Saccharomyces cerevisiae S288C: one gene and its partner. The gene in region 1 interacts genetically with each later gene. Each region holds a gene or a part of one and is shown on either strand. Other genes may lie near its edges.

Region 1 (3,544 bases):
ATCACAAAATGTGATAGATGACCAAAGATTAGAAATAAAATATTTAGAACGAATCGTATATGACCAAGGCACTGTCATTGATAATCTAACATCAAGAATAACAAGACTGGAATCATTCATACTGAATTCGATCTCAGACAGAGGAGATAAAAATTTTGCCTCTCTCGAACACTCCCGCTCTTTTTCTGGGTTTCCGACCAACAAGACGTATGGCTTACAAATGGGTGGACTGTATGAGAATGATATGCCCTATCGAAGAAGTAGCGACAACATTAATAAAGAAGGAGCAAGAGAAGATCGATCGTCACAAATCCATATTGAAAATGAAAGTACGGAGGATATACTAAAAATATTGTCTTCGTCTTTTCACAATTGAATTAAGTACTTAACTAAATAATACCAGCATAATCGTAACTAAAACTAAAATATAGATATACGCATTTCAATCTTTTCTTCTCAGAGAAGGGTAAAGCTAAATGAAGTTTTCAATCGGAAAACTTTTAATTTTTGATGAATTTTAATTTAAACTTATATTTCTTGGAATTTTGTTCATCGTCTACAGAGAAAATGGGGCTTTGATTCCTTCTCCTTGGATAGGTGTCACCGCCCCAGTTGTAGTTACCAGAATAACCAATATATCCGTCTCCTCCTTTCGTTGGATCAAAATCGAATTGACCTGCATCCTTAATGTTCCTGAATTTGCAGACCAATTCATTAGATGAAGACGAAATAATGTCACAAAACCCTTGGTTAGTTCTCAAGTAGTAATTCCCATAGGGAGATTTAATCAACTCGTAATTCGCTGGTGTACCTTGACTCATCCAGTGTCCATTCTTGATTAGAAAGCCTTGCATCTGATCTCCATTATTAATATTTGATAGACGAACGACTCCTCTGTATCTTGCTCCCTTATTAGGTCTCCTCCTGAAAGTTGGGACATAACCTTTTGGAAAAAACTTAATACCATCTTTTTTACAATTTGTTCGAATGGCAAGTGAGTCCATGGGCACAAACATTTCGCTCAAAAGGGAACCCTTCAAGTGGTTATAATACCATACTTCGTTTAAGGAATTATGTCTATCACAGCCTATGAAGACTTTTTTTCCTTCAAACTCTTTACTTAGTGCTGCCTCTATCTGCTCCAAAGAATAGGAATTGTCCACACTTGGGACAATATTATTTTTTTCTAGTGTTGAAAATGTGTCCAATTTCTTGAATAGATTATAAGTTATTCTAAAATAATCATAGACCGCTCTTTTTCTGTCAACACTATTAGCACCCCACTCAGTATAGCACTCTGGTCTAATTGTGCTAATGCACGTGCCATGTTTATTAAACTCGTGTATCCATAAGGACTCATGATTCCCGTTATTACTCTTCCAATATAAGTCTAGGTATTCAAGCAGCTTTTCGCCCGATATTTGCAGGGATGTATCATTATTATTAAATTTCTTGTCATGCAATAAGTAGTAAACATCGTCAATTTGTAAGGACCTATTACAGAATTGTTGGTAGCCACCATGACAATTATCTGGCCATAATCCGTGAATTGTAAATGAATCTAGAGGCCCTAACTCCTTCACTAATTCAGTTTCATTTAAATCGTTTTTGCTTGGAAAGTAATTCCAGAATTGGGTTTGTAAAAATATTCCACCTGGATATTCAAAACAACACGAGTTGTCTATATCAGTTTTATTGGAACATGATAATGGAATGTTTATAGGGCAGTTTGGTTCTATACCCTTATCTGCTCCATTCGAAAAAATTGGTAGTTGTAAGAGACTGTGTAAGTTTTTCAGTAACATTGACACAGTACTTTAGTTTGAAATATCTTAAATAGTTGGCCTTGCAATAGGTCGAAAGTTGAAGCGTTAATTATAAATTCGGTAGTTCCCCTACTTTTCGATAGGTTTGCATTTAAGGGATATTTTAGGAAAAGCTTAGATACCGAAATTTTGTTGATAGAGATGCAAAAGAAGAAAGAATGAAAAAGGAAAACAATTACTGCGCAAGAAAGACGCGTGTGTTAGCGCAATTGTTACGTTGAATGCATTGATATGTAGGGGCATATATATGTATATATACTTATTGTTTCTTTTTCAACTTTCTTTTAGCGAAATCAAGTACTTGAGAATTACCTTCCTTTGAGATGAAAAATTTCTTCTTTTTGTCGTCTTTCCACAACAAAACACCGATATCTTGAGCGTACTTACTTAGTAAGTTGTATTCTTGACTAGTCTCAAAATCAGAATATAAGGAACCTTCATATGTAATGACTCTATCTAACTCTAATTGCCATAATCTGATTTGATCTACGACGGTAGGAGGCAAAACTTGTAAAGGCTCCTTACAGTTGGGGTCCAGCTCTAATTTTTTTTCTAGTTTCTCTTCTGCCAACCTTCTCATTTGAGGATGTGCATGTGTCTCCAGATAGGCAATGATTTGGTCGGCAGTGATACCATTGGTCAATGCTCTTCTTATGGATTCCCTTGTTATTTGACCCAATACCATATTCACAAATCTTGCCTTTAAATGAACAAAAAGAGACAAAACAGCAATTTGCAGAGGTGAATTAGAATATGAATAGATTTTGAAATTTGTTTCTACAATCAATGAGCCATCGGGTATATCTTGATTTTTTAGACCTGCTTTGTTCAAATCATCTGATGTAGTGATATCTGTTGTGGATTTCCCGTTGGCGCCGTCTTCATTTACTGACGGCTCTTCTCTATTCTGTCTCAGTACACTATCCATCGCATTGGAGGCAGATCTGATTGTCTTGGTATCGGAAGTCAGCATCAAAGCTAATTTTGTTGGATAAAAAATGCTATCATTTGAATGCTTCTGGAATACCAAACCATAGTCTCGCATATCTTGTAACATAATTCTTTGTGTTTCGCTTAATGCATCGATTTTATAGGCTTTGCCAACTTCCAATGCGCCTAACATGAAAATAAAATGTAAAACATCGACTAAATCCATTTTGGACGTTTCGATCATTTTTAAATATTGCAATAATAATGTCCATAATTGGGAGTTGATTTCTTGTAAAAGAAATTGGAAGCCTTCATTAGTGATTTTGAACTCTCCAGTAGAGTTTACCTCTTCCATTAGTTTACTGTGTTTTAAAAGGTTCAGTACTTTTTCAGATGGGATTTTAGCGAGGGGAGTGCCAACCATGAAATGTAATATTGTTTCCCATTTATTAGCTGAATATTCATCCAACAAGTCCAGGCTAACTACGTTTTCCTCTACAACCACACCGAATGAGTTTTGAACTTCCCCACCCGTTAATGCGTTCCTCAGGCTGATTTTGAATGTTGGGTTTAGGTTGATCATCAAAGTACCAGATGATTTATTTGGTATAAGAAGATGCAAAGACTTCATCGATTTGATTGCATTCTGAAACTGCAATTTACCATTAGAGTTAACCCATTTATCTAAATCCAACAAAGGTACTTCATTTTCGTTGAAAACCATTGCCATGATAAAAAATTTAGCTAGTGGTGGTAAAATTCTATAGATAGCCAGACATGTAGCTGGT
Region 2 (7,358 bases), on another chromosome or scaffold:
TTTGGGAAAGAAAATATGAGTCTTTAGCCAAGCTATACTCCCAGTTGCGTCAAGAGCATCTAAATCTTTTACCTCGTTTTAAAAAACTGCAGTTAAAGGTGAATAGTGCGCAGGAATCCATTCAGAAAAAGGAACAGTTAGAACACAAATTGAAGCAAAAGGATTTGCAAATGGCCGAGTTGGTTAAGGACCGTGACAGGGCAAGGTTAGAATTAGAAAGATCCATTAATAATGCAGAGGCGGACAGTGCAGCGGCGACAGCAGCAGCAGAAACAATGACTCAGGATAAAATGAACCCTATTCTGGATGCCATATTGGAAAGCGGTATCAACACCATCCAGGAATCGGTCTATAATCTCGATTCTCCTTTGAGTTGGTCGGGTCCGCTGACTCCACCCACTTTCCTTTTGTCCTTATTGGAAAGTACTTCTGAAAACGCCACTGAGTTTGCCACCAGTTTCAATAATTTGATAGTAGACGGCCTTGCACACGGCGACCAAACAGAGGTCATACACTGCGTTAGTGATTTCAGTACTTCGATGGCTACACTGGTGACCAATTCAAAGGCGTACGCCGTTACTACATTACCTCAAGAACAGTCTGATCAAATTTTGACCCTGGTGAAGAGATGTGCCAGAGAGGCCCAATATTTCTTCGAGGATTTGATGTCTGAAAATCTTAACCAGGTCGGTGATGAGGAGAAAACTGATATCGTCATCAATGCCAACGTGGACATGCAAGAGAAGTTGCAAGAGCTATCTTTGGCTATCGAACCGTTATTGAACATACAATCTGTCAAATCAAATAAAGAAACGAACCCACATTCTGAATTGGTTGCCACTGCTGACAAAATTGTCAAATCCTCAGAACACTTACGTGTTGACGTTCCTAAACCATTGTTGTCATTGGCATTAATGATTATTGATGCTGTTGTGGCTTTGGTAAAGGCTGCTATTCAGTGCCAAAATGAAATTGCCACCACGACAAGTATTCCTCTGAACCAATTCTACTTGAAAAACAGCAGATGGACAGAAGGTTTGATCTCCGCGGCAAAGGCTGTGGCAGGTGCAACCAATGTTTTAATCACTACTGCTAGTAAGTTAATCACTTCTGAAGACAATGAAAACACATCACCTGAACAATTTATCGTCGCCTCCAAAGAAGTGGCCGCATCCACAATACAATTGGTAGCAGCATCGAGAGTGAAAACTTCCATCCACTCGAAGGCCCAAGATAAATTGGAACACTGTTCCAAAGATGTTACCGATGCATGCAGAAGTTTGGGTAACCACGTCATGGGTATGATTGAAGATGATCATTCGACTTCGCAACAGCAGCAACCATTGGACTTCACATCCGAACACACATTGAAGACTGCCGAAATGGAACAGCAAGTGGAAATTTTGAAGTTAGAACAATCCTTGAGCAATGCCAGGAAGAGATTGGGCGAGATAAGAAGGCATGCCTACTATAACCAGGATGATGATTGATCATGAATTGTACTTTTTATATATAAAGATAAACGTTAATATAAATATATTTATTTGAAGACGTCTTTTACGTTTTTCTGTATCTGATTGGTATATGCGTTCTCGTCCGGGGACATTTTTTCTTTTTTTGGTGCGGCGAATGGAAATAATCGCGATAATGAATATGCAAGGAACAAAGAACAGACACCCCACCCTTATTATCATATCACATCTCTGTAGGAGTCTACCATTTTGCTTCTATTGTAATCTTTGCGACTTTATTTCAACTCACCATTCATACAAAATTTCTACTGCCGTTTAAAATAAGGAAAGCATAAAGATTAAAGCAAATTAAGAGGAACCCTTTTTTTTTTTGATTTCGATACAATGGCATTTTGGTTACCTCAAAATATACAAAAGCGGCTGCTTCTTTACGTCCTTCAGCAAATTTCGCTGTTCTCCAATATAGATTTATCTAACTTGGACGTTTCTATAGGGTCTAAGTCACATTTCTCGTTCCATGATGTGAATCTGTCACTTGATGATCTCAACATTCCAAACGTGCAAATAAACGAAGGCATAGTTGACGAGCTTGTGTTAAAATTAACAGTTTCTGGCGGTGTGGAAATCGATGGGTCTGGTTTAAGATTTATCATGACACCTTTATATTCCAGTGGCTCACAGGAACTTCACTCAGATTTTTTGGTTAAAAGCATCCAAGATCTTACGAATTCGATGTTACAATTTAGTGATCCATTGACCACATATAATAGGTACAAAGAAGATGACATTAGCTCTTCAGACAGTAGTAGTGATCTCAACTCTAATATAGAAGCTTCAAAACCAGCCGCAAATGGTTCTTATACTCTTCAAAATATGCGGAACAAGGCCCTTAATGTAGCCTTAGCGAAATTGAAAATAGCATTAAAGGACGTTACCATACGTTTCATAGTGAATGATAGAGATCCTTCCGATAACATTGTGGAGGTTCATCTAGAAAGCATACAACTTATTACTACAGACGCAAATTTACGACATATAAACATTGAAAATATCACCATTTCCTCAATACAAAAACAAGCTGTACCCGACTCTCCTGTGCATCCTTTCAATAATGACGATCTGTCACAAAGCGTTTATTTATCAAAAATGGAGGCTACTTCACTTTATATGAGCGCCATGGAAGAGCAATCAAATGAAGACCCCAGTGAACCCCAAGTTACACAAGAAGAACAAGAGAATGATAAGTGCAAGGAATCTTTAATGGAAATAAATAATTTGAACATAGCTTTTAAGGGTTTATCATCGGTCAATGATCTCAGAATGTCTAATATTGTTATTGATATTCAGGATGTTCATTTAGCGATACACAAAATTGTCGAAATCAAAAACTCCACTTTGAAGAATATTATAGATATCATTGTTACACATTTGGATGCCAATGAAAGCTTTTCTTGCCAGGATTCCCAAAGTCCTTCACCTGACAAGCAGGAACCATCAGCTCTTTCTTCTGTTGATATCAAATGTATATACTTAAACTTAGGCCAAGATATCACAGTAATTTTGAAGAGCTTTAAATTAGAGCAAAAGGAAAATAATTCATTGGCATTTTCTTTAGGCTCATTTTATTCTAATTCGAGTCCATTGACAATTAGCCATAAAACTAAGCCATTGCTCACTGGAGAACAAACCCCTCAAAGCATCGCATTAAATATGGGCGACGAACTAGATATTATTATCAGTCATGATGGCATTGCGCATTTCTTTAAAATCTTTCAGTTTGTTTCAAAATGTATGTCCTTTTATCAGAATAAGTCAAAAGGGATGATGCCTCAAATAGCATCGGATACTAAAAGGACCGTACAACTTACCTCAAAAGCAGTGAAGTTGTCGCTTAAGTTTCCATATTTTTTATTATGTTTCCAGGTTTCACCCTTCATTTACGACTCTAACCGTGAGTTGTACATTGAGCTTGTAGACGTATTTAAAAAACTACCTTCTCGGTGCACGAAAATATTGACAATGTCGAGCATTACGATCTCGAACTTGCAATCCCCTCTACAACTGGGTTCATATGACGATACTTTGAAAGAAGCGCTAATTTATAGTTCTGTCCATGCAATCATCAAAGAAGTGATATTTAACGAAGAATATTCTGGAATAGTACAATTAGTCGAAGATATTTCTGCGTTTGGAAAACTTTTCACGGATTCAAAGAACAGTGAATGTACAGGAAAGTCTAAAAGCAAGAGAGGCTCCTTTTTGCAGAGAAGTGTCAGAGTACTTAATTCTTCCAGGTTCGTTTACAAGCAGAGTTTATCCGCTAATTTTTCTCTCAAGATAGATTCCATGAAGTTAAAAGTATCAGAAATTATAGGGCCGCAATTTGGTTCTGTGGAAGCATTACTATCAAATAATTTCTTTGCGATTACGGATGACTCTCAAATTGTATATTTTACAAAGAACTTAAAGGTAGAAAGAAAGACACCGTCATTATTAGAGCCACAAGAAATCATGTCAGTAGTTTTGAATAAAGCAGTTAACGAACCTGTACTATATGTTCATAGAAGGGCGAATGGAAAGTTAAAAGTCATTTTTAACAACATTCGCATACATTACTATGCAAGGTGGTTAGAAATACTAAAGAAAAACATCGGCCCGGATAATGCCAGTTCAAAAGATGAACCTGTTTCACAAAAGCTTAGTAAAAAACAACCGACTTCAGGATTTCCCTGGGAACTCAAATGTCTGGACTGCTCTCTAATTCTGCACCCTTTCAGATTAAAAAGTGTAATGGTCATTGTACTTGACAATCTAACAACTGGTGGAAGTTCATTTATTCCGCAGGCAAAGCTTCTTTCAAAGGCGAATACACTCTTCCTAATAGATGACTATCAGAATTTCAAAATTCAAAAAGATAAGAACTGGCCTAGTTTGATAAATTTTTATGCTGGTCAAGGTTTCTCTGCAATCGGTAAAATAGATACTTTGAATTTTTTAATAAACAAATCCGATGGTGCCCTTTTATTGGATTGTAAAATAGAACAAGTTGGTCTTTCATTATGCGCGGATTCTTTTCAAACTTTTTGTCAGCTTTGTATTGATTTAAAATATCCTCAGACGTTTCCTGATGAGGAAAAATTTAGAACGCAGTTGAAAAATCCTATCGATGTATTCAAAGACATCGATTGTGATCTTTTCAATTCTGCCTTCATCCGGGAGAACAATCATCAAAATGATTACGACTCAGTGCATTTGGTAGACAGTTTTCTCGACAAAACTCACGAGTTCAACAATGGTGCCAGAAGTAAACTATCCTCTCAAGGTTCATATGAAATGGACAGTTCCTCTGGAACTGCCACAGGTGGTATTTTACTTCCCCATGAGAGTTATCTAGACTCTGCTCAGCCAAAAGAAGAAGATACTCCACCAATCGCCTCAAAAGAGCAAGAAAGGGATGTGGATATAAGGGGTAGTATAGATGTCGAAAAAGTTGTTATAAAACTATTCGATGGGTATGATTGGAAATATACGCGGAAATTTATCGCTAATACTGTTGAAAAACTGGATAAAGAGCTCAGTAAAGCGGAAGCAAGCAGTTCGAAATCAAATGTACCCCAATCAGAGGCAAATATTTTTGACTCTATTTATATATCTGCTAACAAAAACAATGTCACAGATTTGAGAAGAAATCTTGATGGTGAGATCCAGGGGGTTCAGAATTCCTTCTCTGATGTCTCTAAAGTTAATTTGCGACCTTCTAAGCATTACAAAGCCCTGATTCAATTGAACAAAGTACATGTCAATTTGAAGAATTATCGAGTAGATGAACCCGATGAGTCTAACTCTGATAATTCCACAGATGTTTTGAACCGATGTGTAGTTTCCATTTACGAATTTGAAATTATCGATAATGTTCCCACGTCCACCTGGAATAAATTTGTAACTTTGCTAAAGCACGAACCGTGGCCACACAGTTCTCCGATGTTTCTTCTGGACCTGGAATTTATCCGGCCGATCGACTTTTTGCAAGCAGTGGAATTAGTCATGCAATTAAATGTTGCGCCTTTACGCCTTCACGTGGATCAAGACACTTTAGAGTTTCTAATAAGGTTCTTAGGGTTCAAAGATAAAAGATTTGAATTAATTGATGAGTATCCAGATATTGTATTTATTCAAAAATTTAGCACTAATTCAATTAAGTTAAGATTAGATTATAAGCCGAAAAAAGTTGATTATGCGGGTTTAAGATCGGGCCAAACTTCTGAATTGATGAATTTTTTTACCCTTGATGGATCCAAGATTATTTTGAAAAGCGTAGTCCTGTATGGATTAAATGGATTCGATGAATTAAATAATAAACTGAAAGCCATTTGGACGCCGGATATTACCAAAAAGCAGCTGCCTGGCGTTTTGGAAGGACTGGCTCCTGTCAGATCGTTTATGGCGATTGGGTCAGGGGTGAAGACCCTAGTCACAGTACTAATGTCAGAATACAGGCAAGAAGGGCATTTGGGAAGGAGTCTGAAAAAGGGTGGCAATGTCTTCTTGAAAACGACAACGGGAGATTTTGTGAAATTGGGAGTTAAATTAACTTCAGGGACACAGGCGATATTGGAGAACACCGAGGAACTATTCGGTGGTGTTGGTTCCAATGGCAGGGTGTACGATGCATCGAAATTTGGCTCCGCTGATGGTGCAGACAGTGATACTGCAGCTGTATTAGACTTGGATACTTTATTCGAGGAGGATCAGTTAGTTGGTAGTAAATATTCCAGGATAAGAGATCATGAGCCCACGGCAGTAGTCATCGATATGTCTTCACCGGGAGATCACAACGAACCCACAATAGTGAGTCTGTACGCAGATCAGCCCCTCGACCTGCCCACGGGTTTGAAGGAGGCGTATAGTTCATTAGAAAAGCATATGCATATTGCGTACGATGCGGTATGGAGGGCAAAGGGACAGATGAAGGATGATAAACGGGGAGGGCCGAGCGCCGCAGCAGTTTATGTTGCTAGAGCTGCACCTGTGGCAATTATTCGGCCGTTAATTGGGGCCACTGAGGCAGTGTCTAAGACTTTACAGGGAATAGCTAATCAAGTGGATAAGACGCATAACGAGCAAATCAATGATAAGTACAAGTCCAATCGGACTGATTCGTAAAAATTTTTGCAGACATTTTTGATATATATTCAATTCATATTTTATCTCTTTTTTTTTTTTTTTTTTCAGACGTGGAATGGTGGGAAAGCCAAAATGTCACTGACCGCGGCTAAAAGTTAAAAAATACATGAGACGACATTCTTTTATGTATATATATTTACACATGTATACAAACAAATACACACGCAAGTAGAGAGGAGTTGGTGGGGGGAAGATGCCATTATAGAGGAGAAAAGAACAAAGAGAGTGAGCTTGCAAGATAAAATCACTCGAAAAAAAAAATTTCAGTGACTTAGCCGATAAATGAATGTGCTTGCATTTTTCTAATTATCCTTCGTATCTTCTGGCTTAGTCACGGGCCAAGCGTAAGGGTGCTTTTCGGGCATAACATACTTGTGTTTTTGCATATATTCCTTCAATCCCTTTGGACCTCTTGATCCGTAGGGGTAAATTTCCGGTGTTGGACCGTCCGGACGCTCTATGTGCTTCAGTAATGGGGTGAATATGCCCCAACTGATATCCAATTCGTCATCTCTGACAAAGTTGGAATGGTCACCCAGTAGGGCGTCTCTTATCAACACCTCGTAAGCCTCTGGAATCCAAAAGTCTTGGTACCTGCTTGCGTAAGTTAGATTCAGATCTGTGACTTGGGTAGCATTTGACAGACCAGGGGTCTTAGCATTAAACTTTAGGTACACAGCGGCATCGGGCTGCACTCTGATG

Evidence for each region. A genetic interaction does not mean that the proteins touch.
Region 2: of RNY1 (region 1) and ATG2, changing one suppresses a phenotype caused by changing the other (phenotypic suppression), as found in Saccharomyces cerevisiae (one study listed by BioGRID).

What each region holds. Positions count from the first base shown.
Region 1 is NC_001148.4:317,141-320,684, forward strand, and holds RNY1 (ribonuclease T2), read right to left. Parts: upstream 1,806-3,544; coding exon 501-1,805; downstream 1-500. Other genes in the region: SPC29 (Spc29p), read left to right, coding at 1-376; TFIIH/NER complex subunit TFB2, read right to left, coding at 2,086-3,544. UniProt on the Saccharomyces cerevisiae protein: Rnase which modulates cell survival under stress conditions. Released from the vacuole to the cytoplasm during stress to promote tRNA and rRNA cleavage and to activate separately a downstream pathway that promotes cell death.
Region 2 is NC_001146.8:189,468-196,825, forward strand, and holds ATG2 (Atg2p), read left to right. Parts: upstream 1-1,856; coding exon 1,857-6,635; downstream 6,636-7,358. Other genes in the region: SLA2 (Sla2p), read left to right, coding at 1-1,490; ZWF1 (glucose-6-phosphate dehydrogenase), read right to left, coding at 6,959-7,358. UniProt on the Saccharomyces cerevisiae protein: Lipid transfer protein required for autophagosome completion and peroxisome degradation. Tethers the edge of the isolation membrane (IM) to the endoplasmic reticulum (ER) and mediates direct lipid transfer from ER to IM for IM expansion.